Cricetulus griseus: one gene and its partners. The protein of the gene in region 5 interacts with the protein of the main gene of each other region in a biochemical or structural test. Links are inferred from orthologs where the notes say so. Each region holds a gene or a part of one and is shown on either strand. Other genes may lie near its edges.

The links.
Region 1: the proteins of Mdc1 (region 5) and histone H2AX form a complex in vitro, tested with the Homo sapiens proteins (5 studies listed by BioGRID and IntAct, with this or other methods). The link is inferred for Cricetulus griseus from reciprocal best matches to the Homo sapiens genes MDC1 and H2AX.
Region 2: the proteins of Mdc1 (region 5) and Topbp1 are reported together in a solved structure, tested with the Homo sapiens proteins (3 studies listed by BioGRID, with this or other methods). The link is inferred for Cricetulus griseus from reciprocal best matches to the Homo sapiens genes MDC1 and TOPBP1.
Region 3: the proteins of Mdc1 (region 5) and Cdc27 form a complex in vitro, tested with the Homo sapiens proteins (2 studies listed by BioGRID). The link is inferred for Cricetulus griseus from reciprocal best matches to the Homo sapiens genes MDC1 and CDC27.
Region 4: the proteins of Mdc1 (region 5) and Rnf8 form a complex in vitro, tested with the Homo sapiens proteins (2 studies listed by BioGRID and IntAct, with this or other methods). The link is inferred for Cricetulus griseus from reciprocal best matches to the Homo sapiens genes MDC1 and RNF8.

Annotation. Positions count from the first base shown.
Region 1 is NC_048597.1:156,019,987-156,025,869, forward strand, and holds histone H2AX, read left to right. Parts: upstream 1-2,916; 5' UTR 2,917-2,997; coding exon 2,998-3,429; 3' UTR 3,430-4,272; downstream 4,273-5,883. Other genes in the region: Dpagt1 (UDP-N-acetylglucosamine--dolichyl-phosphate N-acetylglucosaminephosphotransferase), read left to right, coding at 294-482, 781-868, 1,030-1,185, 1,271-1,336; Hmbs (porphobilinogen deaminase), read right to left, coding at 4,897-5,070, 5,151-5,237, 5,350-5,403, 5,617-5,736. UniProt on the Homo sapiens protein: Variant histone H2A which replaces conventional H2A in a subset of nucleosomes. Nucleosomes wrap and compact DNA into chromatin, limiting DNA accessibility to the cellular machineries which require DNA as a template.
Region 2 is NC_048597.1:211,574,602-211,580,694, reverse strand, and holds part of Topbp1 (DNA topoisomerase 2-binding protein 1), read right to left. Parts: intron 5,056-6,093; coding exon 4,835-5,055; intron 3,954-4,834; coding exon 3,805-3,953; intron 3,582-3,804; coding exon 3,470-3,581; intron 2,091-3,469; coding exon 1,927-2,090; intron 1,189-1,926; coding exon 1,051-1,188; intron 1-1,050. UniProt on the Homo sapiens protein: Scaffold protein that acts as a key protein-protein adapter in DNA replication and DNA repair. Composed of multiple BRCT domains, which specifically recognize and bind phosphorylated proteins, bringing proteins together into functional combinations.
Region 3 is NC_048600.1:117,571,450-117,578,038, forward strand, and holds the start of Cdc27 (cell division cycle protein 27 homolog), read right to left. Parts: upstream 4,562-6,589; 5' UTR 4,450-4,561; coding exon 4,423-4,449; intron 4,299-4,422; exon of another isoform or gene 3,612-4,298; intron 1-3,611. UniProt on the Homo sapiens protein: Component of the anaphase promoting complex/cyclosome (APC/C), a cell cycle-regulated E3 ubiquitin ligase that controls progression through mitosis and the G1 phase of the cell cycle.
Region 4 is NW_023276806.1:258,076,953-258,083,045, forward strand, and holds part of Rnf8 (E3 ubiquitin-protein ligase RNF8), read left to right. Parts: intron 1-2,641; coding exon 2,642-2,770; intron 2,771-6,093. UniProt on the Homo sapiens protein: E3 ubiquitin-protein ligase that plays a key role in DNA damage signaling via 2 distinct roles: by mediating the 'Lys-63'-linked ubiquitination of histones H2A and H2AX and promoting the recruitment of DNA repair proteins at double-strand breaks (DSBs) sites, and by catalyzing 'Lys-48'-linked ubiquitination to remove target proteins from DNA damage sites.
Region 5 is NW_023276806.1:229,746,733-229,753,560, reverse strand, and holds the start of Mdc1 (mediator of DNA damage checkpoint protein 1), read right to left. Parts: upstream 4,576-6,828; 5' UTR 4,573-4,575; coding exon 4,437-4,572; intron 3,029-4,436; coding exon 2,648-3,028; intron 2,563-2,647; coding exon 2,487-2,562; intron 2,092-2,486; coding exon 833-2,091; intron 715-832; coding exon 646-714; intron 496-645; coding exon 403-495; intron 1-402. UniProt on the Homo sapiens protein: Histone reader protein required for checkpoint-mediated cell cycle arrest in response to DNA damage within both the S phase and G2/M phases of the cell cycle.

The DNA of each region.
Region 1 (5,883 bases), on a different chromosome or scaffold from region 5:
AGTGCTGGGGATCAAATTCATGACCTTGTACATGCTAGGTGACTGTTTTTATCACTGAACCACACAGCCAGCCTTGTAGTTACTTTAGAATTGCTCTCTACCCTGCCATAGCTGGGAATAAATGCTATGGAACCCTCAGGAGTAGATGATTTTAGGGCCTGGTGGCCTGCAGAGTTTCTGGAACAGCCTTTCCCTTAGAACTCAGGGTCAGGACTAGCCTGTTGGTGTGTCTGATGTGAAAGAAGGGTCAGTAATGACTCTTGCCATGGGCTCAGATCCTCTCTCCCATACAGGTACCCATCACAGGTGTTTGTGGGAGATACCTTCTGTTATTTTGCTGGCATGACCTTTGCCGTGGTGGGAATCTTGGGACACTTCAGCAAGACCATGCTACTCTTCTTTATTCCACAAGTGTTCAATTTCCTCTACTCGCTGCCTCAGCTCCTTCACGCCATCCCCTGCCCTCGACACCGCATACCCAGGTAGCCGCTCTGGGGCTCCAAAGGGTCATTATAGCTTTTTACTTGGGATAGCTAAAGCCAGCCAGTCCATCTCCTATGTAAGAGGAAGTGGAGGAAAAGAAGGAGTAACTGTATGTGGGTCGTCCGTTTTAGTTTATGAAGCACATTTACTTACATAAAGTGTGATGCTTACAACAGTTCCCTTCACCCAGATGTAAGCAGCTGAGCCAGAAACAAATCTCAGTGCTAAGTGTCGGTCCTCTTACTAACCGCAGGTTGGAAGATGATTCAGTCACATGGTACCATCTTCCCTTTACAGACTCAATCCGAAGACGGGCAAACTGGAGATGAGCTATTCCAAGTTCAAGACCAAGAACCTCTCTTTCTTGGGCACCTTTATTTTAAAGGTAACAAGGTAACAAGGAGGTAAGGCCCCAGGCCACCATCCTTCACTTGAGAAAAGGGAATCCCTGGTCTTTTCAGACCCGAGGGGAGTTTGGAAACATCAAGAAGATCCCCTGTGGATGAAATGTGTAACTGAAGTTGTCTTCACCTCTGGCCCCTCCAGGTAGCAGAGCGCCTCCAGCTAGTGACAGTTCACCGAGGCGAGAGTGAGGATGGTGCCTTCACTGAATGTAACAACATGACCCTCATCAACTTGCTACTCAAAATCTTTGGGCCCATACATGAGAGAAACCTCACACTGCTCCTGCTGCTTTTGCAGGTAACACTGAGGGTGGGGTAAATTATGTAAGTGTTCTTATCTCAAGTTCACCTTGGTTCTTATTCCAGTCCATTTCTCCTTCTAGATCCTGAGCAGCGCTGTCACCTTCTCCATTCGATACCAGCTTGTCCGACTCTTCTATGATGTCTGAGTTCCCTGAAGACTGACTGCCCATAGCCTCCGTTGGACCTCACCCAGGACCAACCTGTCTGGTCCAAGACTGCCTTCTGGTCCAGGCCTCTCCAACTGTTGGTTTTTTCAGTTTTGTTTTCAGCTTCTCCCATCACCTGTAATGATTATTGGCCTGGACCTTATTGGACTTTAAAGTCCATTAGTTGCACTTTGCCCCTGGCTTTCTTCAGCTTGCTACTCTTCCCCTTTCTGTCCCATCTGCAGCACCATAAGGGGGATGTAGCAGCTCTTATGCAAATACAGCTCAACTTTCAGAGCCCTGCATTTGCTGGACCTTGAGAGAGAACCTGGGCTATGTGCTAGAGTTAGGGCCCTATACTCCAAGGTAACCTCACATTTGACTTTAAAATTAAGTGTTCTGATTAGGAAGATCAGAGGCAGGGCCATGTGCTCAAAATGGTGACAATAAAGGATTGTCTTTTACTTGCTTCTCTCCCTCAACCTCTTTTTCTAGCCTTTGAGATACTTGAGGACTGAACTCTTTTTTTTTTTTTTTTTTTTTTTTTTGGTTTTTCGAGACAGGGTTTCTCTGTATAGCTTTGGAGCCTATCCTGGCACTCGCTCTGGAGACCAGGCTGGCCTCGAACTCACAGAGATCCACCTGCCTCTGTCTCCCAGTGCTGGGATACAAGGCTTGTGCAACCAACATCCGGCCTGAGGACTGAACTTTGTTAAGTGCTCTACCACTGAATAAATCTATACATCTATCCCCTATTTATCTTTCGTATGGGCATTTTAGGATCGATTGGAAGGGTTGGGGTGGGTACCCTTTCCAAGAGAATACCTACCTCTGTTCCATCAGACCCCTTCCTGCAAGAAGTGACAGAACTGAAACCAGACAGAACATGTTGAATAAATATTAAAATACTAACTTGTCGTAGCACAAAGGATCACAGCACTCAGTTTTCTGGCATAGGATTGTACTCTCAGGTTTCATTTCTTCTCCTTTAAACCCTCCCTTTGCCAAATTTGAGGAGGGCGTGGGAGTGCCCCTGACCTGGAAGGAGAACTCTTTCCCTTTTTAACTTTTGTTAAAATGTTTTTCGAAACAGGGTTTCCCCTTGTAACCCTGGCTGTCCTGGAACTCGCTTTGTTACCAGGCTAAGCTTGAACTCAGAGCTCCCCCTTCCTCCGCTTCCTGAGTGCTTGAATTAAAGGTGTGCACCACTATCGCTCGGCTAACCCTTTTACTTTAAAACCCTTGGCCGGCCCAGATTTCCCAGAGACAGTCATGCGCCTCCAGACTCCACCTTCCTAGTCTTCCGGTTCTGGTGGCGCGCAATAGCGTTTAAATTTCGCGCGCTTAATAAGGATTGGCCACTTCCATGGATGATTAGCCTGCTGTTTGCGGCCACTCCGCCTTGCTTTCTTCCCCGGGTAAAAGGTTTTCAAATTGGACCAATCGCTGGGCGAGCTCTTTTCGCCTAGGCGCGTCACCGAAGGGTTAATTCCAACCAACCAGAGGCCGGTACTGGGGAAAAGAGCCAATCAGGGGGAGGCGGGGGCGTGTCCATGGAGTTTATAAGGGCGAGCTCGCCCGCGCGCGGCGACAGTTGACTGCGGCGGTTGGCAGTTTTCTTTCGTCGTCGGTGTTGCTCTCTGCTTTCTACCTCGTATACGATGTCGGGTCGCGGTAAAACCGGAGGCAAGGCCCGCGCCAAGGCGAAATCGCGCTCCTCGCGCGCCGGTCTACAATTCCCGGTAGGCCGCGTGCATCGGCTGCTGAGGAAAGGCCACTATGCCGAGCGCGTGGGAGCCGGCGCCCCGGTGTACTTGGCGGCCGTGCTCGAGTACCTCACCGCTGAGATTCTGGAGCTGGCGGGCAACGCGGCGCGGGACAACAAGAAGACGCGCATCATCCCGCGCCACCTGCAGCTGGCCATCCGCAACGACGAGGAGCTCAACAAGCTTCTGGGCGGCGTGACGATCGCTCAGGGCGGCGTCCTGCCCAACATCCAGGCCGTGCTGCTGCCCAAGAAGACGAGCGCCACCGTGGGGCCCAAGGCGCCGGCGAGCGGCAAGAAGGCCACCCAGGCCTCTCAGGAGTACTGAGGGAGCCCGCGCCCTGGCCGCCCAGCCCTCCCCACACCTCCACAAAGGCCCTTTTAAGGGCCACCACCTCCCTCACGGAAAGAGCTGAGCCACTTAGGGCTGCGGGCCGGGCCGCCGCGTTCCCATTCTCTTCCCCTTTCTCTGCCATCGCGCGTTTCTGCCTCCCCTTCCCTGCACGGCCTCCGGGTCAGGCGCCGCGGTACTTATCCATCGCGGAGCTTCGCCGGTCTCCGTCTCGATGGGCCGCGCGGAGAGGTTGCGACACCTTCCAGAAGTGTCGGCCTTTTGCTGTGACGTACGGCTGAGGTGGGCCTGAAGGTGAGTTACTCTGCAGCTGCAACCCGGGCGTCCTTTCTTCAGCTTGGTGCTTTAGCCCTCGCCTGGACCTTCCAGAAGTGACTTGATTACCAGGCTTTGGTGAAGAGAAATGGATCATATTGTTTGGTCCTGTGTTTTCCCCTTCGTTGGCCTCATACCAGTTTACCCCATCTTCGTTCATCGGCCGGTGTGTGGTGTGGCCGGGACAAAATCACTGTAATATGAGCTGGTTTTCTCCAGGATGCCTCCTGGAAAGGGTTTGGGAGAAGCTTACAGGCCTGTGGACAGAAGAGCTGTGTTCTTGCCGCAGGAGACTGGCAGCCGGGCCTAGCTATCCCCTTTTCTTCCCAGCGACTCAATTCACAACCCAAACACCTAGATACCAGCACAAGTCGGTGAATCCCTATCTGGACTGAGCCTCTACTGGCTTCTGAACTGGAATTTTGCAGCTATCCCAAGTTTAGAACCTTAGGTAGTGGGGAGTTTCAATGGGCTAATTTTATTAAATGGTTGTTCTGTTTTTTTAAAAGATGGAGTGTCTTGATTAATTTCGAATTGCTGTAGGCCCGGGGTTGGGGTTCTATAGCTCCGTGGTAGAGCCATGTACCTGGCATGTGTTGTGTTGGGAGGTGGGAGTGGAATTGTAAGTTCCCTTAGAGCAGTGGGGATGGGCAAGACTGTAATACAAGTAGGTTCTGTTAACTGAAAACAGGCAGGCTGTAGGAATTGAGGCAGTTTTCTCTTTGCTCGGTGCTTCCTGGGATGCATTCTGAGAACATGAGGCAATTAGAAAGTATTTCAACAGAGAAGTCCCAGACTCAGAATTCAGGTTTAAAAGGGCTTTGGGTTTATTTATATTTTCCCCAATTCCACCAAAACAACCACATTGAGAGCTGGTTTAATATTAGTGGCATTGGTTACATTCGAGATTGGCACTGACTTTTTCTAAAGAGATGAAGCCCTAACTACTGAGGAGGAAAGGCGCAGTCATCAAGGCCCCAAGGTGATTCGTGTCTCTGGAAGTCTCAACACCCTGTGGTTCAATCTCCTGGGCTAGTCACCCTCTCCAAGTTAGGGAGCACAGAGCACTTGAAAGCCAGATGTGGGCACTAGAAAGTGGCAGCCAGGTTCCCGTAACCTATAGACCAGTTAGTGCACATCATTAAGCTGCCGTGCAACATCCAGGATATTCTTGGCTCCTTTGTTAAGCAACAAGCTGGCCAGGCTGATGCCCAGGTTTTCAGCAGCTAGCTGGGCTCCTCTTGGAATGTTCCGGGCAGTGATTCCAACTAGTTGGGGGTCGTCCTCTGGACCATCTTCATGCTGCATGACACAAGAGTTACAATTTGGTGAGAGGGAAGATGATACTTCTGTTTATTCCTCCCTCATCTCCCAGTCAGTACCTGCACAGGGACCTGGATGGTAGTCTGCATGGTCTCTTGCATGCTATCTGAGCCGTCTAGGCTCCACACTCCTCCAGTCAGGTACAGCTAGGACACAAAATGGGTTGTACCGGCATATTCAGGAAAAGTTGCTTACATGTTTGGGCGCACACAGAACTGGCACAGTGCCTCCCTTCCCTCATCCATCTCTGCTGCTTACCTGCCCATCCCTCATCATGGTATGTACTGCTACTGGGACACTGCAGCCTCCTTCCTGCAATGACAGTCCTTTGAGCTCTAAGGGCCTTTAATACTGCTTTTTGACCACAAACCTCTAAGGATATTAACTGAAAAGGCTGCTAGGACCAGACCAAGGTCCACACTTAGAAAACAATTCCCCAACTTTTGAGCTACCACTACATCTCCCTGCTGCCCTTCCTGATTCCAGGTCCTCCTCACACCACCATAGGAGAAGCCCAAGTCTTACCAGGTGCCTCAGAAAGGCCCGTTCAGCAATGCAGCGAAGCACAGTCTCAGGATCATGCAACACACTCACTAGATCCAAGATATCCTGGTCCTTGGCTCGGACTTCCACTGCTAGGGCTCCCTAAAGGAAAAACAGGCCTAATCTTTCTCCAGTCATGGCTGAACATGGGAACCACTCCTACTTGCTTCCCAGAGTCTTCTGCTTGCCAAAGCCTGCCCCTCCCTGAATATTTTATTTGATCAGAAGTACATGCCAAAGCACAATGGC
Region 2 (6,093 bases), on a different chromosome or scaffold from region 5:
AAAAATTGTTTAAGAGTTTTAGCCATCAGGAAAATGAAAACCAAACTAAATTGAGATTCCATCTCATCCTAGCCAAAATGGCTATCATCAGAAAATAACTAACAAGAAATGCTGGCAAAGATGGGGGGGAACAGGAATCCTATATACTGCTTAAGAGGATACTGTCATATGGAACACAGTACTTCTAATGGAGTATTAGTTAGCTGTAAAGAAGAATGGAATCATGTCATCCACAGGGAAACGGATAGAACTGGAGATCATCACTTAGTCAGACCAAGGACAAATAATGTTTTCTCTTTATGTGGGATCAAAATTTTAAAAACTTAAGGTTAAGATATAAATATAGAGCACGAAAGCAGGTCGACGACTATGTGGGGCAGAGGAAAGGGACCAGCTCTAAGACAGAGAGAAATGGGTGGGAGAGGACAGACAGTAGGAGAGTAAAGATGGACAAAGTACAATAATATGCACGCATGAAAATTCTTACACAACTCATCTTGTATGCTAGCTAAAAAAATAAATCTGGTTTTTACTGATATAAATCACAACTATTAATACTGCTGTGATTTGTTGCCTAGATTTAAGGAATTCTAGCATTCAATTATCGATTAATTTTTAAAAAGGACATAATTTCCCTATTCAACGTATAGGCTTTGGGTCGCAGACTCCTTTGGGAGAATCTGTGAACCCAGTTTAGGACTCCTGATGCTACACCCTGAAAAGGCAAGTTAACTTTAGAAGACCCATGTCTTACTGTATAACACAATACTCTGTTTTTTGAGACAGGATCTCTCTACAAAGCCTTGGATGTCCTGTATTCAGACATCCTCCTGCCTCTGCCTCCCAAGTGCTGGAATTAAAAGCATGTGGCACTTGCAGAGCTACAGTTAAAATTTTAGTTCAACATAGAATGCACAATAAACAGAGCAATTAAGGAATAAAAGATAATTAGAATTACTTGGTCAAGCATATTCTCTTTAAAACACGTCATAATACTGAATCCTATTTGTAGTATCTATATAATCATCATATAATTATATATGTTCATACCTCAACAATGCCTGACTCTTGCCTTTGCTGGATTCTTTTCCTCCACCTCATTGCCGCAAGTGCTAGTTTCTGCTGGTGTTCAGTGACATCAGTGAGAGCATCCAGTATGGCACTACTTCCCCACTCATAGTCTTCTTCCTAGAAAAGCAGGCCAGTGAACTCTGGGTTCCTCTAACCCAGAAGAGCACGGTGCTAGGCACAGGCTTCTGGCTCTTAGAAGCCTTCAGTCTTTTAAGATCAAAGCTGTATATTCAATTGTTAGATACAGAGAACACTAAACATTTTGTGAACACACAGAAAATACAGAATCAAGTACAGCTGGCTTTTAATTAAAACCAGAAACTCATTTCCCAGAATCAAAACCCCTGGCCAGACAGCTGTATTTTGGCAACTTAGTAATAGTCAGGATATTTGGCTTCATGGGAATAGTCAGAGGAAGCATGAACTGAGACAATTCCCAAAGAACTCAGATCGGAAGCTTCAGGAAACACAGGGTAGATTCTGCTGTCCTGGTCTGTTTGTGACAATTACTTTAATGTATAATGAGCTAACAGTAAGAAAAAGGCTTATAATGAGATATCTTGGAATCTTCTCATGTTAAGAGAATATCATTTCAATAAAAAACACTGACAAATTAGATAACAAAAAGTTAGTAGGCCACAATGAAGCTCATTTTTTTGTATACCAAACAAAACACTTAAGAAAAAAGAATGGGAGTAATGCAGCCTGACCTGTAAACTCTGTTTTGTTACACAGCTGGTGTAATCTGACTGACTCCATGTGGTCATTTACATTATATGCATGGTAAGTGTATGAGCAGGGATCTCTTGAGACATTTACACAAGAACCAATCTTTCTAGGAGCATGAACACACACCTGCACAAAGCACCCAGCGGTCCTGCAAGCTTCCAGGTAGGAACGATGAAGCACCCACTTGCCAGCTGCCATGGAGGCTAAGTACTTCTCATTGCGCAATGGGTACCCCACAACCATGTGTGTGCAGTTGGGGTCTGAGCACTGCTTCTCAATCACCGACCCACCTTGTAGAGAGGGAACATTTTATTAATATATAGGAAAAACCTCTACTTTACTAGGTTTCTTACCATCCTTCTAGAAAACCATGTTATTTCAACTATGCTTAAAAATTACTTATATAAAATGAACAACCTAAATGAAAAATGTTGGCACATAGATATGTAAAAGTAACATTCAAATTATCAGCCCTCATCTCTGCCTTTATCACACCATGACCTAATGATTTGAAATGTGGATTAAGGTTTTATAAAATCAAAATTCCAGTGCTAACTCATGCACACTTGAAATTCTGGGCTTCATATGCATGCATCAAGTACTCTATACTAAGCCACACTACCCCCAGTCCTATTCTTTATTTAAAAAAGAATGCATTTTTATTATTTATGTGGATGGGTGTTTTGCCTGCATGTATAGCTGAGTAGCAGAGATGTACAATACCTATGGAAGCCAGAAGAGGGCATTGGATCCACTAGAACTGGAGTTACAAGATGGTTGTGACCCACCACGTAGGTGCTGGGACTAGAACCCTGGTCCTCTACCAGTGCTCTTAACCCAGAGCCATTGTTCTAGTACCTCCTACCCCTTTGTTTCAAACAGGGTCTCACTGTGCAGCCCCATCTGACCTCAAACTTGAGATCCTGTTTTAGCCTCCCAGCTGCTGAGATTACCAATGCTTAGCTTAGGCCTGTCATTTCTGAATGTTTTCTTTTGCTATGCCAAGCTGTGAGATCAAGGTCTTAGAGTAACTATGTTGACTCTATAGAGCTATCAAACAACTGAAAAAAAACTAGTGTAGATTCAGGTGGTATTTCAAAGGAATAAAAACAAAACAAAAAATCCCCACAAAATATTTCACTGGTGTTTTGTGCTGATTAAATACTGAGTAACAGTTTTCATATACTAAAAATAAAAAAATATTTTTAAAGGTATTTTCACCGATTTCTTCTCAGCTCCCAACATGTGTCTACTAGGCAGAGTGGTGTGACCCAGGTGGCTCACATCCTGTTCCTATTGGAGTCCAGCTACAACACATCAGGTCTTCCAGCTTGCTTATCCCAGGTGTCAGAGGAAAAGTCTCATAGCTAGGGATAAGGGTAATGTCACCGAGAAGGAATCCTGAGTACTGGGAGGCTCATGTCACCAGGCCCAGCTAAATCTTTAAATTCTTAGGTCTCATGACCTAGTAGTTTTAGATGCAGATTAGGTCTTTATAAAATCAAAACCCTAATGCGGACTCAATTAACCCATGTTCTTTTCTTAACGTCTCCCCATTACACATGATGTATGACTGCATTTGTATTCCAGTAATATGGTTATAATAATGGTATGTTTTAAAGTAAAATACCAGCAGAAAAAAAATTGTAAACAAGTGAAATACTGGTACCTAGTTTCTTAATCAGGTGACAGTAATCAACCCGCTCTTGAGAATTCAGAGATGACATCTGGAATACATACTGTTTTTTAAGTTTTTCACGACTCTTCTCCATTTTTTCAATCTAGAATGCAATAGTTACATTTTAGAAAAAATATTAAAATTTTCAGTATAGCTATTTTATAGTGACATTTTAGTCATTCTTCTAAAGTACAAATATATAAATTGTATTTCAATCAAAGAAATTCAGTTTTCAGTAGTGACGAGGCTAATGCAGAGAACGGATTGCTACTCCAGCATGAGAACACCACTCAAAGCTGTCACCACCATAGCAAGGATCAACAAACCTTGTCCAGAGGATGTGGAGCTGCAGGTGGCTTGGCCAAGGGGAAAGCAATGCTGGGAGGTTGAGGCACAGGGATTGGATGCTTATCCGCTGCTGGAGTTTCTGCTTCATCAGAGATTGGGAGTTCTGGGGCTTCAGTCACACACAAGGCTGAGGGTGAAGAAGAAAATGTCATGTAATAGTGGGTGTAATTTAGAATTAATCTAGAGAATATTCTGATTTGTCTTGATCAAAATAATGAACCATGAAGTCTGCAATGCAAAAAAGGCTAAGATGAGGTGTCTGCCTGAGACAAAAGAATCTAAGGTTTAAAACCTGCATAGGTACAACCCTGCCTCAAAAACAAGCAATACATGAAGAAGAGAGCAGCCAACTTCTCCAAGTTAAAAATAAACACAACTGAACAGCTCTGAAAGGGCAAGTGTGTTATCTGGGTTTTGTGACCCCTTCCTTTCATCCAGCACAGGAAGATAAACACCCAGTGTGAAGAAACAAATAAACAAACAAAAGGAACTTAGGAAAGCTCACAAAAGCCAAAGAACAAACACACTATAAGCTGGGTGGAATTCAGATAGTTAAATAAAAATGAGTTACAGGGAGAAAGACCAAACACTACCTAAAAGAAAGAGGCTAGAAAGCATTGCTGTGTGAATCATGTTTGTAGAATGGCTAATCCTAAATTTCTACATTTCAAGATCAAAAAACAGTTTTCAATTGATTTATACAGTACTAATCTTAATTTGTCATTTGCATGTGCAATACAGGTAACCACAATATCTTTAAGAGGTCAACATGCATATAGTACAAACAGATATTTTTTTTCTTTTCTTCTTCTTCTCTTTTTTTTTTGAAGGTTTTTCGAGACAGGTTTTCTCTGTGTAACAGTCTTAGCTGTCCTGGAACTGGCTTTGTAGACCAGACTGGCCTCGAACTCACAGAGATCCGCCTGCCTCTGCCTCCCAAGTGCTGGGATTAAAGGCGTGCACTGCCGCCACTACCACCACCCGGCCCAAACAGGTATTTCTTATTACCCTGCTCAGCAATTTCTGAATGGTACACAGGCTCTAGAGAAGGAGAATCATCCAGTTTTTTAATGTCAACCTGAAGCTCAGAATACTGTGTGGGGTAGCTAGGCCACTGCAAGTTGCTGGCGAGCCTTGCTCTCTCCTCCCTTGCTGTCGGGTCATCCCAAATGATCTGCTCGTTCTGGGAGGGCTCTGTGTTGATATCAGGCACTATCTGTCGAGACTGCCTAAGGAATAAAAAGACAATTTTAAATAAGTCACTACAGAATCTAAGGGCATAAGTCGGCGGGTAGTACAGATACATAATATTTGTTGAGTAAATCAATCAAGGACAAATTTCTTCTTTTTGTATAGGGTCTCTTTATGGAAGAGTACAGCTTTAAACTTGAGATAACCATCCTGTGCTTCTACCTCCCAAGTGCTAAGATTATAGACATGCATCCTAGTTTGTGCTACACTGCTGTGTTAAGACACCATGATCAAAAGCAACTTGGCCAGGAAAGGATTTATTCAACTTACAGCTGTAGCCCCATCACCAACAGAGGTCAGGGTAAGAACTCAAACAAGAACCTCGGGGAAAGAACTGAAGCAGAGATCAGAGAGGAGTGCTGCTTACTGGCTTGCTTACCATGGCTTGCTCAGTTTGCTTTCTTATATGGCCCAGGACCACCTGCCTAGTGGAGGTACCACACAATGGCTGGGCTCTCCAACATCAGTCATTAATCAAGATGTTCCACAGATTTACCTACATGCCAATGGGACGGAGCCATTTTCTTAAATGAGATTTCATCTTCCTAGATGCCCCCAACTTGTGTGAAGTTTACAAAACCTAGCCAGCATAGCATGCAACCAACATATCCAGCTAGTTTTTTTTTTTTTTTTAATATTTCTACTGGAAATTTAAAAAATATATTTGTTATCTTTACTTTCATCTATCTATCTATCTATCTATCTATCTATCTATCTATCTATCTATCTATCTATTTTGAAGCAGGGTTTCTCTGTGTAGCCCTCACTATCCTGGAACTTGATCTGCAAACCAGGCTGGCCTCAAACTCAGAGATCTGCCTGCCTCTGGGATTAAAGGCATGCGCCACCACTGCCTGGCTCTATTTTATTTTTATGTGCATTGGTATTTTGCCTGAATGTATGTTTATATGACAGTGTCAGATCCCCTGAAGGTGGACTTACAGGCAATTATGAGCTGCCACGTGGGTGCTGGGAACTAAATCCAGGTCCTCTGGAAGAATAGCTAGTGATCTTAA
Region 3 (6,589 bases), on a different chromosome or scaffold from region 5:
GTAATTTGATTCTGGCTAGTCAAAAACTTCTGTTTTCAACTTCTAGTCTAGTTAAGAATACAATATTTTCACAGGTCAGAATCCCCCCAAAATAGTTTTTGTCCCAGTTAAGAAATGAACTTGCCATAATTAATAAGGGAAAACATTAAAAACAAAAACTTCCTTAAAAAAAAAAAAGAATATTTTACTGTTCTAAGTGATACTCTAAACTTTGGGCTGTTGCTCATGCAATTTCAAGTCAAGAATACACCTCCTCTTTTTTAATTTCTTAGGTTTCAAATTCTAATTGCTCAAAAAGCCAGTCCCCATTTTTTTTTCTGACCTACAAAGCTCTCTCTTTCCTGAATTCCTTTATTAGTATCTATGTAATTAAATGCATAGTTAACATCCAATTGTTCCTGCTAATCATTCTTCATGTTCTCAGGACTAGAACCCAAGATGAGGAATTATGTCTCCATAGTTTCACAAGTTATTTCCAACTTCTTTTCTTCAAAACAGAACATATTTTTTTTTTTTTTTTTTGAGACAGGGTTTCTCTGTGTAGCACTGGCTGTCCTGAAACTCACTCTGTAGACCAGGCTGATCTGCCTGATTCTGCTTTCCAAGTGCTGGGATTAAGGGTGTTCATCACCACCAGGCCAAAACAGAATTCTTAAATGTCTTCTTTTGAATCTGCCCCAATCCTATCTGGTAGAAAAGCATTTATTATTTTTCTAGGGAATTAGTTTTAGCTTGGGGGAGCTATGAATTGTTTTGACACAGCATCTCACTATGCAGCCTTGGCTAGCCTGAATTCACTATGTAGACAGGCTGGCCTTGGACGAACAGAGATCTACCTGCCTTGACCTTACAAGCCTCACAAGTGCTGAGATCAAAAGGCATGTGTCATCACAAGCAGCTGGATTTTTCATTTTTTAAACAGCACCACTGAAATAAAATTCAGGCAGTCATTTTTGATACCAACTCCAGGAAGACAATCCCCTCCCCATGTTTCAATGGTTCTACTTTCCAAGTTATTTCCTGAATTTCTACCTCTAAAACCTTTATCTACCCTTTTCCTGTTCCACTGCTACTCTAGATACCTTTGCTTCTAAGACGACAGGCTTCTCTTGACCATGATGCTTCTCACGTAGCAGCCATAGTATGGTACTCTTTGAAACATTATTAGGTGACACTTGGGGACATCTTATCCCAAGTCAAAAGTACTCTTTCACTATTAAATAAAACTCTAAGCTGGGCGTTGGTGGCGCACGCCTTTAATCCCAGCACTCGGGAGGCAGAGGCAGGAGGATCTCTGTGAGTTCGAGACCAGCCTGGTCTACAAGAGCTAGTTCCAGGACAGCCTCCAAAGCCACAGAGAAACCCTGCCTCGAAAAAACAAAACAAACAAAAAAAGCAACAACAACAACAAAAAACCTCTAAAAGGATGACATGAATTATGGATGGATAATACCCAAACTCCTTTATTTTGTTTTGGTTTTTGAGACATGGATTTATGTAGCTCAGGCAGACCTTGAACTCCTTATCTTCCTGCCTCTAGTTGGAGTTTCAGATGCAGATTAGCATGCAAGGTTCTTCCATCTAGTTCCTCTATTGCACAGTAAAATCATTTTCAAAAGGCTTGTCTACAATTTCATCCAATACATCTGTGAAGCTTCACTTACAGCAATAATTGATACAGCTTTATCAATTGATGCAGCTATATAAAACACCTGCCTCTTAAAACAACAACAGCTTTCAGTGAAATGGCTCAGAGGATAAAGATACTTGTCACCAAGACTGACTGACACACACATGTACACACAGTAAATGAAAGTTAAACAAGACACCATACCAACAAAAAAATGCCACTTTTACAGGCACCCAAATTAGTACTGTGAATGCCTTTAATCCCAGCCAGGGCTACACAGTGAGACTGCCACAAAAATCAATCTGTGCTTTGAAATATCAAAGATTATTTTGTAAAGACTCAAATATAAAGCCAGGTGCCTGTAATTCCAGCACTTGGGAGGCAGAGGCAGGTGGATCTCAAGTGAGTTCGAGGCCAGCTTGGTCTACAGAGAAAGTTCCAGGACAGCTTGGAACTGTCCCACAGAGAAACCCTGTCTCAAAAAACAGAAGACTCAAATATAAAGCAATGTTTTTTCTATGAGTGCTAACTTGGGGAGGGGCTTATATTTAAGTCTATATGGCACATTTCACTGGGTAAAAATTTTAAGGAGGGGGGTAGGAACAAATAGTTGTGCATTATTTCTGTCAACTTTTTCCTGTGCCTAGATCACCAGGAACAAAGTAAAGAAAATATTCTCAACACTATTTTCATCCTGATATATGGAATGAACAATTCTTAAAACAATTATCTTAGCATCTCTTTACTTTTTTCTTTCATACTAGCTCTTTCTCATTTTCAACAGCATTCCTGCTCAAAGTTAGCTAATTTCTCCCACTGCTAACTGCTCCTTTTGTTGTTATTTTGTTTTTGTTTTTTGTTTTTTTTGAGACAGGGTTTCAGATAGCCCATGTTGGCCTTGAACTTGCTCTGTAGCCAAGGATGACCCTGAACTCCTGATCCTCCGGCCAACTATAAATTATTCTCATCCCCTCACACCCCAAAACTTCTTACAATTACCCTAAAATCTAATGGAAAAAGTTATTATGGAGGAGAGGGAGGTAAATTCCACAGTACTTTAAAAACAAACAGGAAACCTGCTGGATTCTATCTTGCTTAAACAATGTATTCTACACTCTCATGGTTTTCTAGAAGTTAAAAATTTTTAAGTAGTAGTTTACATGCTGTAAACTATCATATCACTTTAGAAGCCTTCTGGCTCCAGAAAAGCAGAAAAGTAAGACAAAACTACAATATGAAATAAAAACTAATTATCTGAATAACCTCCTTATCCGTTTAATTTCATGTTAGGCCTCAAAAGGGCCTTTTAAGGGACTCTACACTAGGAAGAGAAATCTGGAAAGAAATGCAGCTTTGGAAGAATTGATACAACATACAGAGACATGGGCTGGGCAGTGGTGGCCCACGCCTTTGATCCCAGAACTCGGGAGGCAGAGGCAGACAGATCTCTGTGAGTTCGAGACCAGCCTGGTCTACAAGAGCTAGTTCCAGGATAGCCTCCAAAGCCACAGAGAAACCCTGTCTTGAAAAACAAAATAAAACAAAAAAAATAAAACAAAAAACATACAAACATATGTTTTATGTACAGTTCCGAAGATATAATCCAGAATTATATTAATTCAAATACTAATAGCTGTCACCATGTAAACATCTGGAGATGAAGTTCAACTAGGGAAACCGTATTTTAGGCTGCGATGAGACATTAAGGAAATGCTGTACTGACGTACTGAAATATTAAATATTTGTTGTCAGTCTTACCTAAGGCAATTCGCAGCAATTTCTAAAATCGGTTTGATTTATAACTTCAAAATAGCTTATGGCTTAATGATTGTAATTTAATGGAGGCCAACTGTGGTCATGTCAAAGATCATACGGTGGAATGAAACATCTCCCAAACCTGGTCCACCACCAAAGGACAATAGGTTCAGTTTCTTCAGATGTGGCAGGGGGGAAAATGACTTGGCACTGCATCACATACTTCAAAACCCAATAGGCTTTCTTCTGACAACAGCACCGTGTGCGTCAATGCATACCTTGGTGTGGTTAAGGAATGGACGAATGGTGAAATGGATGGGAAAGCAATTATCTCTAATTTCCTAAACACCTTCTAAATCAGCACGGTAAAATGCCTCCTGATACCCATCCTAGGTGATGGAAAAAATCCAGACCTGCCCTTTCGTCCACTCCCCTGCTGGGGTGTTTGCCCCGCAGCAGTGGGCCTGGGAGTTCCCTTCTCAGGTCGTCATTGTCCGGTGGGAAATCCACGGAGAACTGTAACGTGGACAAGAAAGTCTGCTCCCGAAACGAAAACCAGTACCGAAAATACGGGTAATTTTACGTCTTCCTTCGACCACCTCACGTAAAACAAAAGCAAGGAAACACCAGTAAACTTGCCCCACGGGTGTGAAATCCCACCAGCTCGGCTCAAAAGCGCTTCTGTGTCGACCCCCGGGACGCCGAGCACTCGGAGCGCCGTCTCGGGCGGCCCCTCGTCTCCCACCGCGGGCAGGAACCCAGACCAACAAGAGGGGGATGGCCGGACGCCAGGACCGACGGAAACGAGTGATTCCCGCCGAACCCGGCTGGCACAACAGGCGAGAAGTAATGCGGGGCCGGGGCTAACCTCGGCTGAGGCCGCGGGCAAGGCCTCGGGAGTGACGAAAGACAGGTAGGGGGCTCGCCGAAAGGGAGGCGGGAGAAGCGGGGCCTAGGCCGCAGCAGGCCGCGGAGTGGCTGCTCGCCGCTTGCGACCCAGGCATGGCGCCAGGCCTCGGAGCAGGCGCTAGTATTACCTGGACAGGTTCCTGCAGCACCGTCATCCTTGAGGCTCAGGCCCACTTTCTGCAGTGCCTCAGGCCCCCCCCGTAGCGACTCCGGCCCGGCCAGCCCCGGCTCATTTAAACTCACCAGCGACCGTTACCGGGGGATGGGGGAGGCCGAGTGGTTGCCGAACTCCTCCGAGCGTGACACGGAAATACCCGAAGTGGAGAGAGCCAAACGAGAGCGAGACGGAAAAGCCCGAGAGATGTCGGAAATACTCGAGGTGAGCCTCCGGAGGCGGAGTCTGTGGCCGGAAATTGGCGAGTGCTACCGGAAGTTGTTGGGTTGGGCCCAATCGGAAGTTCCTCTTCTCAGCCACGCCTTCGCCCTACGCACGCCACGCCCAATTGGCCACGCTAGCTGGGCCACGCCCAAAGAGCTACTAGTAGGATGGGCCTGGAGGGAGGGATCCGGCCGGCCGGAGTTACCTGTGGGACTGTTGGTCGGGGTAAGCGCCTCCGCCGTTCCCTGTTGTGCACGGTAGATTCAGCGAGGGGTAAAATACTAGTCTGGGGCTGAATTCAATAAAGTCTTTTGAGTTTAGGTCATTATCCACTCCTGGAATTCCTACTCAGGCCTCTGAGGAAAATCGAGGGATAATTGGAACATTGCCATTCCCCAAATATATAGGATTCCTGTATTCAAAGAGATACGGTCTGTTGCAAACAAAAACGCCTAGGCTGTGTACTTGCCTAGCATGCATGAAGCCCTAGGGGTGATCGCCAGTGTCACCTAAACATTGCTCTCCTGCTTTGGGAGGCGGACGCAGAAGTATCTAGAGTACAGGATAATTAAGAACAAGATAGCGAGTTTGAGGCAAGCTTGGGCTACCTGACACCCTGGCTCATAATTGAAAAAAAAAAAATCAGTGTAACTGAGAATTTCGTTATTTGCAACTTGTTCTGGGTGATGTAAAACTTCAACTTCAGAGAAGAGGGAAGTAAATAGGGAAATAGGGATTTAAATGATGGCTGTAGTTACAAACACTAACAGAGGGTTTAATGTCTGCTTTTTGGCCACATCCTCAGAATAAACAAAGGAACTATTAAAATCTCCCTTTTCGTCAGACAAGGAAAGCTTCTGAAAGTTAACTTTCTGTTGGGACTCCTCTGAGCTAGATGTGAAACTGGAAATCTCCTTTTTCCCCTGGATACTGAGGATCTAACCTCTCATTACTGGTAGGCTAAGCAAGTGATCAACAATTGAGCTACATCTCCAGCCCTCTTGTTACTTTTTTTTGTTTTGTTTTTATTTTAAAGTATTGAAGGTACCCAGGCTGTCTTTGAACTTTTAAAACCTGCCTCAGCCTCTCAGACTACCGCTGGCACCAGTCCTGGTTCTGGGAATCAATCAATCTCAGTCCCCCAGCCCCTCATTTCCACATTGTGTACAGATGATACAGTTAGCATTGTCATTTTAGAGATGCTGGGGGTTAGTCATCTAATGGTAGCCATCCTTTTCCTCGTCCCCCTTTCCTTCTAATAGATCCAACTGTCTCCAGACATTGCCTACATACTTGTTAGTCCCATGAAAGATGGGTGCTAAGGCAATTTCCAGCCGGCCCATGCCCTGTTCTTTTAATGGGATTGTGTTGGATGAATTAGAGTGGGAATAAACATCCGTGCTGGCCTATATAACAGTTGCTCACTATTTAAAGTTCAGTTTAAACCAAATGAAATTCTTCAGATATTCTAGTCACATCCCAAAGACCTAAGTCATTGACATAACTAGAGTTGTTATTGAAATAGCTAGAATTGGAGGACAACTTTACCCGTGAGTCTAAGGTCTTGCTAATATCTGGGCCTCTCGATTCTCCCCAACAAAACCTTTTTCTTCATACAGTGATTGCTCACCAGTCAGTGGCCTATCCTAGCTTGAATTGGTGTCTGTCAAGCAAGTCAGTGAAAACAGAAGCTTTGAGGCCCCTTCAAGCCTAGATCTGAAAGTCAAATCCATTGTTGGTCAATTTAAGACACAGGATCAGCCTGGATTTACCAGGAAAACATGCTCCATCTCTTGATGAGGGAATAGCAAAGCAACTCTGCAAAAGATATGCGCAATGAGAGGGATTGGTGGGTCATCTTTGATCCCCCACCACCACCTGGTACATTGATTTCTCCCCACCCCCATAATTTTGCA
Region 4 (6,093 bases), about 28 Mb from region 5:
CATAGTTTCTGCTCTTGGAGTTTATGGAGTTTCTTTTTCTTTTGGTTTTTCGAGACAGGGTTTCTCTGTGTAGCTTTGGAGCCTTTCCTGGCACTTGCTCTGTAGACCAGGCTGGCCTCGAACTCACAGAGATCAGCCTGCCTCTGCCTCCCAAGTGCTGGGATTAAACGCGTGCGCCACCAACACCCGGCCCAGGAAAGATTATTTCTACAATGAAGGAGTCTGTGACCTTTATAGGTTGGCTAAGGTGTGGCTTATTTAGTGATATTCTAGAGCAGGTCCGGTTTTAAATTGGCAGGCGTTAGAGAGCTGCTTATTTTTACATGTGTGTTGTTTTTTCACCTGCTTTACCTAATCTGATCCCTGAACATTCACTAGTCTGTCTCAACCCTGTAGGGAAACTTAATCAAGTGTTGACTTACTCATTGAGGCTCAGTTCAGTGAACTAATCTATTACTTCTGAATAGATTGGCAGTCCCGGGGTAGCAAGGGCAAGAGGACTACAGGTTCTACATGGTGCCATAGTTCTTACGGGATCACACCTATGGAGAGAGAGACCCGCACAAACCAAGAGAATGCCGGTCAGGGTGAGGATTGACCCTCCTTGGCCTGTGTATAAGAGAAGCCTGCCTGGTGATACGCACGGATGGACCCTCATCTGGTATCGAAGGGAACCCTTTAGTAAACTATCTGTCCGAGTGGGTGAAAGGGGGAAGGAATGGTTAGCGGACTTCCTGGTTATTCCAGAGACAGAGCCCTGCAGAGGAGGGGGCTAGGGAAGACGGGCAGGAACAAGGGGATGGTCTGCGTTAACATCAGGGTGCTTCATGGTTGTTAATGGAGCAGTGCCGAGGGAGTTCTTAGGGGGCTGAAATAGAACCATTGTATTCTAGGACTGGACATTTCTCCTCTGGATGCTAAGTCAGGGACAGTTTCAGAACAAGGTGCTCTCCCAGTCTTCTGTACTGTGTTCCCCAGTGGCAGCCAGGCTGTTTCCCCTCAAGTGGAATATGGAATGCTTCCTCTAAAACAGCTACTGAATCTGGGAATGGTCAGTGAATGAGGATGGTATCCCTGAAGATCCCCCCCACCACACTAGTCCTTAGACCTGCACATTCTCCATTGAAGAGTTTGCGTGCTGTGGTGGATATGTAGAGGTCAGGACAACTTCAGGAGTTCTCTGCTCCACTGTGGGCCCCGGTAAGAGATGATCACACACAGAAATGAATCGGGAAACAGACCCGAATCTCAGAAGACGGTCACTTCTTTCCCTACAAGTTTATGATTAGATAGGTCTGCCAGGAAGTGTGACGAGTGGGAACCAGAGCTTTGTTTCTGTCTTCTACAGACCCTCAAGCCGTTGCTGTGGGTAAGTGGGGACCTAGGGTCAAGGAATTTGGTTGGTAGACTTTGCAAAGTGGGCATCCATGTGCGTATGGGTGCCTGCAGGGGCCACAAGAGGGCACTGAATCCGGATTTGGAGTTAAGAGCTCTCTCTAATCCCCATTTTATTTTATTTCCTTATGTCTTGACTGGAAGTTCAACATCAACTGTCGTGTCAGTTTCCTGGAGACTAATGCTAAAGGAACATTATGTCTGTCTGTCTGATGACAGATTTAAAGAGTTAAAGTCTCAATGAGGCAGTGTGCTAGTCTGAACAAGCAAGATGAAAATGAACAGAAACCAGTGTCAGGTCCTCCATATGAATTCACATTTACCAACTCGTCATAGTAATTTGGGGGAAGGAAGGATGGAGAAACAAGAGTTATTTCTCAGGCCGAGGACACTGTGGCAGTGTACTGGAGCGCCATGAAAGTCAGACCCACACATCAGTCGGTAGCCATGCCTAGAACTGGGAAAGTGGTCCATGACTTGACTTTGTAGACCAATTTAAATTGATTTTCTTAAATAACAGCTATCACAATAAACACAGGCCCTGGGGACTCAGGTAAAATGGCTGGGAACAGAGGGCCAGGAATAGTGACTTGGAGGCTACTTCACAGCTGTGTGTAGAAGGAGATTGGAGATTTCCTGATGGACTCGGGGCAGAACCAGGGCCAGCTAGAAGAATTTCCAGAGAAAGGGATGCTAAGCTGGGCATTTAAAAAGCCGAGACCTGTCTTACTTGTGTGATGGATGGATGCCAGTGTTGAAGACAAACCGATGGGAATGGGATGGTAGAAGTGGATGACTGACCGACCGTTCAGGGCTGTGGTAGCCTGAGAATTCATATCAACTCTTCCTTATTTTAAGTGATTATTTTATGTGTATGCCTGGTGCCTGGGGGTGGGGGCAAGAGGTAACACTATAGCAGAAGAGGGCATCGGGTCCCCTGCAGCTGGGAATTGTGGATGGGTTATGAGCCACCATGTGTCTGTTGGGAAGACAAACCTGGAAGAACAGCCGTGCTCTCAGCCACTGAGCTCTGTCTCCAGTCCTCCGTGGTTAAGTGTTGCCTTTTTCTCTCTGGTGGCTCCCTGTGGCCGCTGAGGAGGGAGAAAACAGTGGATGAACAGTTGAGGCTCCTCAGATGTCTGCTTCCCTAAGTCAGGGCCTGCGTGCTGCTGGTTGGTAAGACGGTGAAGAGCCTCCCTGTCTATCATAGTGACTGACTGTCTCTCACGTTGCCTCTGTCTTTCAGGTGACTATAGGACGAGGATTTGGTGTCACCTACCAACTGATGTCAAAGGTATGCCCTCTGATGATTTCCCGGAACCACTGTGTTTTGAAGCAGAACCCTGAGGGACAGTGGACAATCATGGACAACAAGGTACTGGAGCCCATGCGAGCCTGATGGCTCTAGTGAGGGTTATGTACTTGATTTATTTATTTTTGGTTTTTTGAGACAGGGTTTCTCTCTGACTGGAACTCACTCTGTAGGCCAGGTTGGCTTCCAACTCCCAGAGATCTGCCTGCTGCACATCTTTAATCCCAGAAAAATTTACTTTTCTTGACACCTGATAGTTGTTCTCATATAATATTCAGAAGTGTAGCCACGCCCACCTGTTCTCTTTCTAAGTGCGGCACTTCTGTGTGCTGCAGGAAGTTAGATTGTGCAAGATGATTGCTAGTGACCTGGAGCGAGGGCTAAACCGCCAAGAGAGAGTCTAGAGTGGAGCTGTGGCTCCTTTTCCAAAAATTAGACTATATTTCTGGAGAAATTAGCCCCTTTGAAAGGCAGCAGTCAAAGATTCTGGGAATCTGCCTAAGCTTATGGGGGACGGGAGACCTGGGGCAGAGAGAGAGAACCCCTGCAATGCACTGCTTTTTGCCTTCAGTACACACACACAGACCTCCACACATCTCCATACAAATACACGTGCACACACTACACACACCCGCAAACTTATACACACATCTACATACACAAGACACTCCTACATGTACCCCCCCACATACACGGACACACCCCTACACACATACACACCCAGGTCTCCATACACACCCCTACACACAGACACACACACTCTCCTCCACACACATACACCTACACCTATACACACACCACACATATCTACATACACACCCCTGCACACAGACACACCTATATGCACCCCCCACACACACACACTCTTTCTCCTCCACACACACACACATCTGCATACACACCCCTAAACACAGACACACCTACACACCTATACACCTACCTCTTCACACACACCTACATATACATACATATACACACCCCTACACACACACAAATACACACACATTTTCTCTCCTCCACACATACACAAACCCCAATGTAAACTCTCTCTCTCTCTCTCTCTCTCTCTCTCTCTCTCTCTCTCTCTCTCTCTCACACACACACACACACACACACACACACACACACAAACACACACGCGCCTTTAAAATAAACCCGCTTGGGGCTGGAGAGATGGCTCAGAGGTTAGGATCCCCAGCACCCACATGCAGCTCACAACTGTCTATACCTCCAATTCCAGGGGACCCGATACAGACATACATTCAGGCAAAACACTAATGCTCATAAAATAAAAAACAACACAAAACAAAAAACCTGCTTAACTGTTCGTGTTCTCAGAAACATTTTACTTTGAATAAAGGCTTTTAATATCTTTTTAGATTTATTTTATTATTGTATTACTTACTTGCATGTGTGTCTGTGTGTATTGTATGCACATTTGTGCACAGGTGCTTAAGGCCAGAAGAGAGGTTTGGGTTCCTCAGAGCTGGAGTTACCCACAGGCGCTTGTGAGATGCCCCACATGGGTGCTGGGAATTGCTCTAGGGTTCTCTGGAAAAGGAGCAATGCTGAGTCATCGTTTGTTCCCTTTAAATGAAATTTAAAGTTGCCAGTCCAGTGGGAAATATACAGAGTCCAGCAGTTAGGAAGCCCCTAAAGTGCAGATGTCCAGGCACCCAGGGATACAATGGAAGTAGACCATGGGATGGGGGCCTTTATTTTTAATGGGGGTCTTGTTATGTGGTGTAGACCAGCCTCAAACTCATCTGACACTCGGTGATTTCTACCTCTGTGCTGTAGAATCTGGCATCTCAAGCCCTATGAGTGTATTTTGTGACTAAGTCTCACTGCTTGGAGTAGTAGTTCTGCAGGTCTGCTGGCATTAGCAACAACCAGAGTGGCCCTGACTTCTGTTTGCTGTTCTAGCCCTTACCCGGCAGACTTGGCTTTTATGTGTGTGGGAACTCTGTCTCTGTATTAAATGTCTGTGTACGACATGCATGCAGAGCCTGGGGAAAGCCAGAGGGAATCAGAGTCCCTGGAACTGGAGTTACAGATGGTTGTGAAACTCCTTATATGTGCTGGGAATTGAACCTGGATCCTCTGCCAGAGCAGCCAGTGCTCTAACCCGTGGGCCACCTCTCTAGCTCTGGCCGAGGACATGGTTCAGTAGGTAAAGCACTGGCCACACAAGCTCGAAGACTAGAATTTGGCTCCCAAAGCCATGTAAAAGGCATCCGAAGTATCGAGTGTCTGTGGTCCCTGTGCTCCTATAGCAAGTTGGCAGGGAGAGACCGCCTCACACCGAAGTGGGGTGGGGGTAGGGGGATGATGACAGGAGGACCCCAGAGCAGCAGGTATGAAACTGTCTCACACCAAAGCGGGGGAGGGGGGCTGCACATGACTTAGACACATTCAGTGGTAGTATAATAAAATTAAGGGTTTCTATTCTTCAAAAGATAGCAGTAAGACAAGCACAACCCAGAGTGGAAGTGTTTGCTGTGCACATAACTGATGAAATATGATCATGTACGTACAGAGAGCTTCAAATCAGATTTTTTAAAAAGACAGATATAACCCAGTTTCTAAAACAGACTAAAAGACAGGCACATCACAAAAGAGTGTACCAAATTCTACTCTATAGCCACGAGAAGTTGTTGGAACTCAGTGATGAGGGAAATGCAAATCAAAACCACGAGGGAATACACTGGCTAGGATAAGGAATGAGTACAAGCATCTTTCCTCTTTGGAGGGAAGGTAACTTGACACACCTACTTTGAAATCCATAACTCATTCAGTTGTACATTTTATGTTTAGAGCTCATTTCTGTCTCTAGGAAGGAAACACTTGCAATGCCCACCCACGGTAGACTGTATAGAAGAAAGAGTATTTCTGCAATCAACACTGCTGTATTGAACATGGGTACTTCTTACAGACATGATACTGAGTGAAAAGGCTTCCCAGCAAGTTGCCAGGCATGCTAATATGTGCCCGTAGTCCCAAAATTTGGGAGGGTAGAGCAGGAGATTCCGTGCCAACCTGGGCTGTGTAGCCAGACTGTCCCAAAGAAACAAAGTAGGTGAGTTCAAATGTGACCAGCTGTGTGTGGCAGTGTGTCTTTAATGGTAGAGCTGGGGAAGTGGGTAGAGATGAGAGCTCACTGTCCATCAGTCCAGCCTGATTGCTGACCTCCAAGCAGTCAGAGACCTTGCTCTTTTACCTCTACATTTCCCTGAGATCAGTTCCCAGCACCCGCCCCAGGTGCCTGGCATCATCCACTTATAACTCCAGCTGTAGGGCTCCTCGGCCTCTGTGGGCTCTTGGCACTCAAATGCACACACACACACAGAGAGAGAGAGAGAGAGAGAGAGAGAGAGAGAGAGAGA
Region 5 (6,828 bases):
TGTTTTTTTGTTTTTTTTTGTTTTTTTTTTTTTGAGATAAGGTCTCATATAGTCCAGGCCTCAAACTTTCAATGTAGTCCAGGCTGGTCCTGAGCTCCGGCCTCTGCCGCCCAATGTGTATCACCACACCTGGTATGGATTTTTTCCTGATGCCCAGCACTTGGAGACCCACAAGTTCAAATCATCCTCAGCTACATGAGCTCCTCGTCTCCACACAAACAAGAGTATGAGAGGCTGGAGAGATGCTCAACAGTCAGCAGCACTGACCTCTGTGGGCACCAGGCATGCCCACAGACATGATGTGATACAGACACATCTAACACAGGACACAGCATTAAAGGACACAGCAGAAGAGGACGAGAAAGGATACAAGGCTGAGGGCTCACAGAGACTATCTTGTACCTGGCGTCTGCAGGCTGAGGTGGGAAGGCCCAGGCTCTTGGGGAAGAGTGCATGGAAAGACTTGCGTAGGCTCATCTTCCAAACTCTGGACAGCTGCACAAGAAAAGACGGCTGGAGCACAGCTCCTCCCAGAATGCCTGTGCCCCATGCCCCATCTTGGCCATACCATCTTTCTAGGACTGCCAATCTAATCCCCTGGCTCTTACTGGCACTCAGATGACCCAAACAACACAAGGTCCTCACCTTCTGAGCTCTGGCCCTCCCTGTCTACAAAGCACTGGGTAGCCGGAAGGCACACATCTTCAGACTCTGCTGAGGAGATAAGAGACAGACAGAATGACAACTCACCCTCAGACTTCTACAGTTCTCTCCTGACTCTTACAGCCAGTTTACTTCAGGGGTCAAGGGCAGAGCAGAGAGCAGCACTTACCATCACGGCAGTCTTTGGCATTCTTGGTCCTGCCCATTTGTACTCCTCTCTCCTTTCCTGTGGGGGTCTGGGCTCCCTCTCTCTGTGGCTGAGTGGGATCCCCCAGAGTAGCTGTAGGCACCACCACTGGCTCTACCAGTGTAGCAGGTGACCTGCCTTGGACCCCCACCTCAAGCATGCTCGCCTGCTCACAAACAGTTGCAGCCCACTCTGTCCCAGCATCTTCTACTCCTGGCTGCTTGCTTTGTCTTACATCTGCCGCTGCTGAAGATGAGCCTTCCTCCACAGCTGTTTCCCAGGCCTCCTCAGGAGGCAGGACTTCCTTCCCTGCTTGTGCACTACTGTCTTCTACTGTGGCAGAGGAGGCCTGGTTTCCCTCTAGCTGACCACCAGGGGAGCCCATATCCACACCCTGGTCTACATCATCACTGGCTCTATGGGGAGCTTGGCTCTCTGAATGTGGGACAGTAAGAGCCTCATCTGTGTCCATGGGGCTGTCAGGGACCACTTCTCTCTTTTCCTCCTCCACGTCTGTGTCACTGTCTTTCCCAGAGGCACTCTGGCTTCGTTCTACGAGGACCTGTGGTTGGGACTTGACCTCTTCCATGCCTGGCTCCCTGCTCCACAGAGCCATCCCCCTGTCTTTCAGATGGGCCAAGGTGACTGCTGCTGAGACTCCATCTTCCTCATCTGTGTCGCTGCTGATCACCATGGCCGTGTGGTTTCTCTCTGGAGGGCCAGCCACTGGAGTCTTGCCTTCTTCCACACCTGTGCCACGACCAGCTGGGCTGTCCTGCAGATGGGTCACGACAGGTGCTCCAGGGTCCTTTTTACCAACTCCAAGCAGGACTTGCTTCTTCCCCGGAACTACAGGGGGGGTCACAGGGATCCTGTCTTCTTCCACGTCTGTATCGCTGTCCACAAAGCCGGAAGGCTGGTGTTCTTCACCCATTTCCGTGTTGCTGTCCTTACCCACAGTGGAGCCCCTCCCAACCACAGCCGCTCCATTGCCAGCCTCACTCTTGACTTTTGCATCTCTGAGCTTTTGCTCAGCAGGCTGAGCCAGTACCAGCTGGATACCAGATGTCACTCCATTAGCTTCCAGCTGCTTGGCCTCTGCAGCAGCACCATCCCTGGCAACTGAAGAGGACTCCCCAACTGCTGGCTGTGGACATAGCTCTTCATCTGTGTCACTGCCCAAGTCAAAGGGCAAAGACGGCCCACGGACACTTTGGGCTGGAGAAGACCCCTCTTCATCACTGCAAAGACAGAGAGCCCACAGAATGTACTCCCTGGATAGGCCACCCCACTCCGCTGTGAGGGCCCTGAGAGTGAGCAGGCACTGCTGCCAGGTGTCTTCCCATCCCCACTGAGCACACCACAAGTACTCTTCATAATTTAATTCAGCTGAGGAAGTAATTATGCCTAGGCTCTCGGCTCCACCTGTCAAGATAATCACCTCATTTATTCAAGACCGACTCTTTATTCAAAGGCCGAGGTGTCTAAAACCAGTTAAGGAAGCTCAACCCTATCGTCCCAATCCTGATACTGAACCCAGAGGTCTGCCAGGAGTCTAAGACCAGCTTGGGCTACAGAGACTGTTTAAAAACAAAACAAAACAAAAGATCCAGGCATCTGGTACTTTGCTACTCACCTTTCTGGTACTACTGTTGCTGATGGAGACGTTGGATTCCTTGATCCATTTGCCACATACCTTCCAGAAGGAAAATCTGGCAAGAACAGGAAGAAATAAATTGACAGTTTACACCCTCATTCCTGTCTCTTCACACACATACACCCAAGGCACAAACTTACCTACTTCCTCCTCCGAATCCTCAGCCAACAAAACTCTGGAGGTTTGGGACCCTCCCTGTATTCTGGGGGTCTTCTCTATAGTTAGAAGTCCCCGAGAGACCAAAGGTGGAGGGACATCCAAGCGACGGTACTGGCAGGGAAAGTCTGCAAACAGAATTAATTCCTGGTCCTTCAGACGATGGCTCACTCCAGGGGTTAGGACCTTTGGGGGCTTTACCAGTTGAGTGCCATTGAGGCTCCCACAATCCTGGAGGATAGGGGCTTTGTTGCAAGCTGAGATTTCAATTACTGCATGCTGTTTAGAGATGGATGGAAAAGGCAGGGCCACAGAGCAGTCGGGGCTTCGGCCAATTACATTCTTGCCAAGGTAGAGTGGGAAATCTAAGGATCAAGAAGAAACATTAAGTTGGGCGTTGGTGGCACACACCTTTAATCCCAGCCCTCGGGAGGCAGAGGCAGGTGGATCTATGTGAGTTCGAGACCAGCCTGGTCTACAAGAGCTAATTCCAGGACAGCCTCCAAAGCCACAGAGAAATCCTGTCTTAAAAAAAAAAAAAAAAAAAAAAAAAAAAAAAGAAGAAGAAACATTAAAGAGTAAGGGCAGAGTCCTGGCCTGAATGAAGATGGTACCTACTGCTCACTCAAAGCTCTCACAGGGTTAAGAACAATGGGCACACCAGCGTAGAAGAGCATTCACAATACATCACTTTGCTGTAATATTCTATCTACTCACCTCATCGGTATTGTTCCAACAGATCCGAAAACAGTTTCATGCATGCTAGCTAAGCACTCTTTCCCTGAGCTACTGCCCTTGCTTTGTTTTTGATCCAGGGTCTCACTATGTAACCCAGATTGTTTTCGGACTTGCTATGTGGCCTAGGTTATCCTCAACCTCACCTCCTGAGTACAGGGATCACAGACATGCACCACCATGCCCAAAGGGAGTTTCTTATTGTAATAAAATACACAATATAGGCTGGGCATATTAGCACATGACTTTAGTTCTAGCATTTGAAAGGCAGAGGCAGGTAGGTTTCTGTGAGTTTGAGGCCAGTCTGCATAGTGAGTTCCAGGACAGCAAGGGCTACATATATACTCTGTCTCGAAGAAAAACAATACACACAATATAAATCTAACCATCGCAATCATTGTAAGTATACTGCTCAGTTGTGTTACATATCCATTTCTAGGCCACAATGTATTTTACCTTTTAAAAATTTTATGCCCTTTAGTGATGGCACACACCTTTAATCCCAGCACTCAGGAGGAGGCAGTGGCAGGCAGATCGCTCTGAGTTCTAGGACAGTCTGAGCTAGACAGAGAAACCCTGTCTCAAAATAAATAAATTTTTTATTTACTCATTATTTATGTATATGTGTGCACCTGCATGAGTTTATGTCCACCATATATGTTCAGGTACCCAAGGTCAGAAGAGAGCATCAGATCCCCTGGAACCAGAGCTACAGGTGGTTTTGACCACCATGTGGGTGCTGCAAACCTAAACCAGGTCCTCTTCAAGAGCAGTAAGCACTCTTAGTCCCTGAACCATCTCTTCAGCTCCCACATTCTATTTTTATTCGGAGCTCTTCATTTTCTCCTAACAAAAGAAAAACACTCCCAGAAAGTACAGGGTACCCGCCTGGAACAGTCAACTCAGGTGGCCTCTTTGTCATCCCTAGTACAACAATTATTATCCTCTTAGAAACATACATAAGGTTTACCAATGATCCAACTGCCTCTAAGGAGAAGACAAGACCCAATACTCATTCAGCTCCCAATATCTCCTGACCTCTTTCTGGTCCATGAGTACTACTGAAGAGACGCAGCTGCCCTATAGGCTCCAAGCTATACCCCAAGGACCCACTGGGTATTTCTGTCTCCTCCTCCTCTTCAGCATCCCAGTCAATAACCTGGGTGTTTTCCATGACCTGTGAGGGAAACACATTATCATTGTTCTGGTCATTGGTTTACACACACTTGTAGAGAAAAAATAACGAGATAACCCTGGAGGAACGTGGAGTGACGTGGGGGTGATTCCTGCCTGCCTTTCCTTCCTTCCTTCCTTCTTTCTTCCCAGACAGGGTTTCTCTGCTGTCCTGGAACTCACTCTGTAGACAAGGCTGGCCTCAAATTGACAGAGATCCACCTGTGTCTGCCTCTTGAGTGCTGGGATTAAAGGTGTGCGCCACCATGAGGTGATGCTTTTCTGTCATTCTGAAGCATGTAAAAATATTGGGGTGGGGCATGGATAGTAAGAATGTCAGTGACAGAATGTTTGGCTAGCCTATGTGAGGCCATATGTTCAACACTTAGTACTATCAATGGGAAAAAAACAACTTTTTTGGGGGCCAGCCAGTGGTGACACACACCTTTAACCCCAGCATTTGGGAGGCAGAGAGAGGCAGATCTCTGAGTTCAAGGCCAGCCTGTTCTACATAGTGAGTTCCAGGGCAGCCAGGGCTACACAGAGAAACCCTGTCTAAAAACAACACACACACACACACACACACACAAAACTTTTGATTAAAAGATGTTGGCATATATCTGTAACTCCAGCACCTGAAATCCCAAGGCAGGAATATTAAGAGTTGGAGACCTGGCCAGGCATGGTGGGTGACACACGCCTTTGATTATAGCACTTGGGAGGCAGGAGTCAGTTCAAGGCCAGCCTGGTGTATGTAGTCTGTTCCAAGCCAGCCAGAGCTACTAGTTAGACCCTGTCTCAAAAGAGTGGGGTATAGAAACCACCCTTGGTTACAGTAAGACCTTGCTCCCCAAAACAAAACAAAAATATTATGTATGTGTATATTTATACTTTTGGTCATGACAAAGAATTAAGGTCCAAGTATACCATTATATATACATTATATACAAAGGAATGTTACATGGGATTTTAGGTACTGGAAACTAAACCTAGGGCTCACACATGGCAAATGCTCTACCACTGAGCTATATCTCCAGCCCCAAAATGGGTACTTTTATTTAAAGTATATAAAAGCATGATAAACTGGATCGAGGTAGTGTATGTCCACAGTTCCAGCTGCTGAAGGAAGCTGAAGCAGTGCAATTGCTTGAGTCCAGGAGTTCCAGGTAAGCTGGGACAACATATTAGGACCTCTTTATAAAAAATAATAATAAAATTGCCTGGCCTTGGTGGTGCATGCCTTTAATCCCAGCACTCAGGAGGCAGAGGCAGGCGGATCGCTGAGTTTGAGACCAGTCTGGTCTCCAGAGTGAGTACCAGGATAGACTCCAATGCTACACAGAGAAACCCTGTCTAGAAAAACAAAATAATAATAATAATAATAATAATATAATAAATAATAATAATAATAAATAGCAAGTTCAAGTTAAGCGGTTAAAGGGACGGCTCAGTGGTTAAGATAACTGCCATGTTCTTCAAGAGGTTCAGTTCCCAGAACCCTCACAGCAGTTCATAACTCCAGTTCCAGAGGATCTGACACCTTCCTTAGAACCAGGCCTGGCCCGTGTGTAGGCACGGGTTGCTGAGAAACTGCTACATGAAATATACTGTCTTCTAACCTCTGACACACAGATCTCAGAGAGCTACTGAGGATCAAACTCAGGGCCTTGTGCAAACTCCAGGTTTTGATGTTCTTTTTAGACAGGGTTCCTCTGTGTAACAGCTCTGGCTGTCCCGGAACTCACTCTGTGGATCAGGCTGGCCTCGAACTCACAGAGATCCACCTGTCTCTGTCTCTTGAGTGCTGAGATTAAAGGCATGCGCCAGCACCACCCGGGCCAAACTATTTTTAATACTTTGTCTAATTCATTTATTCTTCCGAAAAACCCTGTAGGTATAAACTATTCTTTTCTTTTTAGGCGGAGAAACTACAACATAGATGGGCTCCAAGTCAAACTTGCCTAATGTAACTCCCTGGCAAGACGCTTTTTTTCCCCTACACTCCAGATGGTAGCGGGGGAGCCGCCTCTGCATCTCCCCACACCCACAACCACGTCCGTCTCATTGACTTGACAATGAGGAAGCGCACCTGGCACCTCAACCAAAATAAACCCTGCTCTCTCTCTCTCTCTCTCTCTCTCTCTCTCTCTCTCTCTCTCTCTCTCTCTCTCTCTCTCTCTCTCTCTCTCTCTCTCTCTCTCTCTCTCTCCTCTCCTCTCTCTCTCTCTCTCCTCTCTCGGGAGCTACGAGGCCAGAG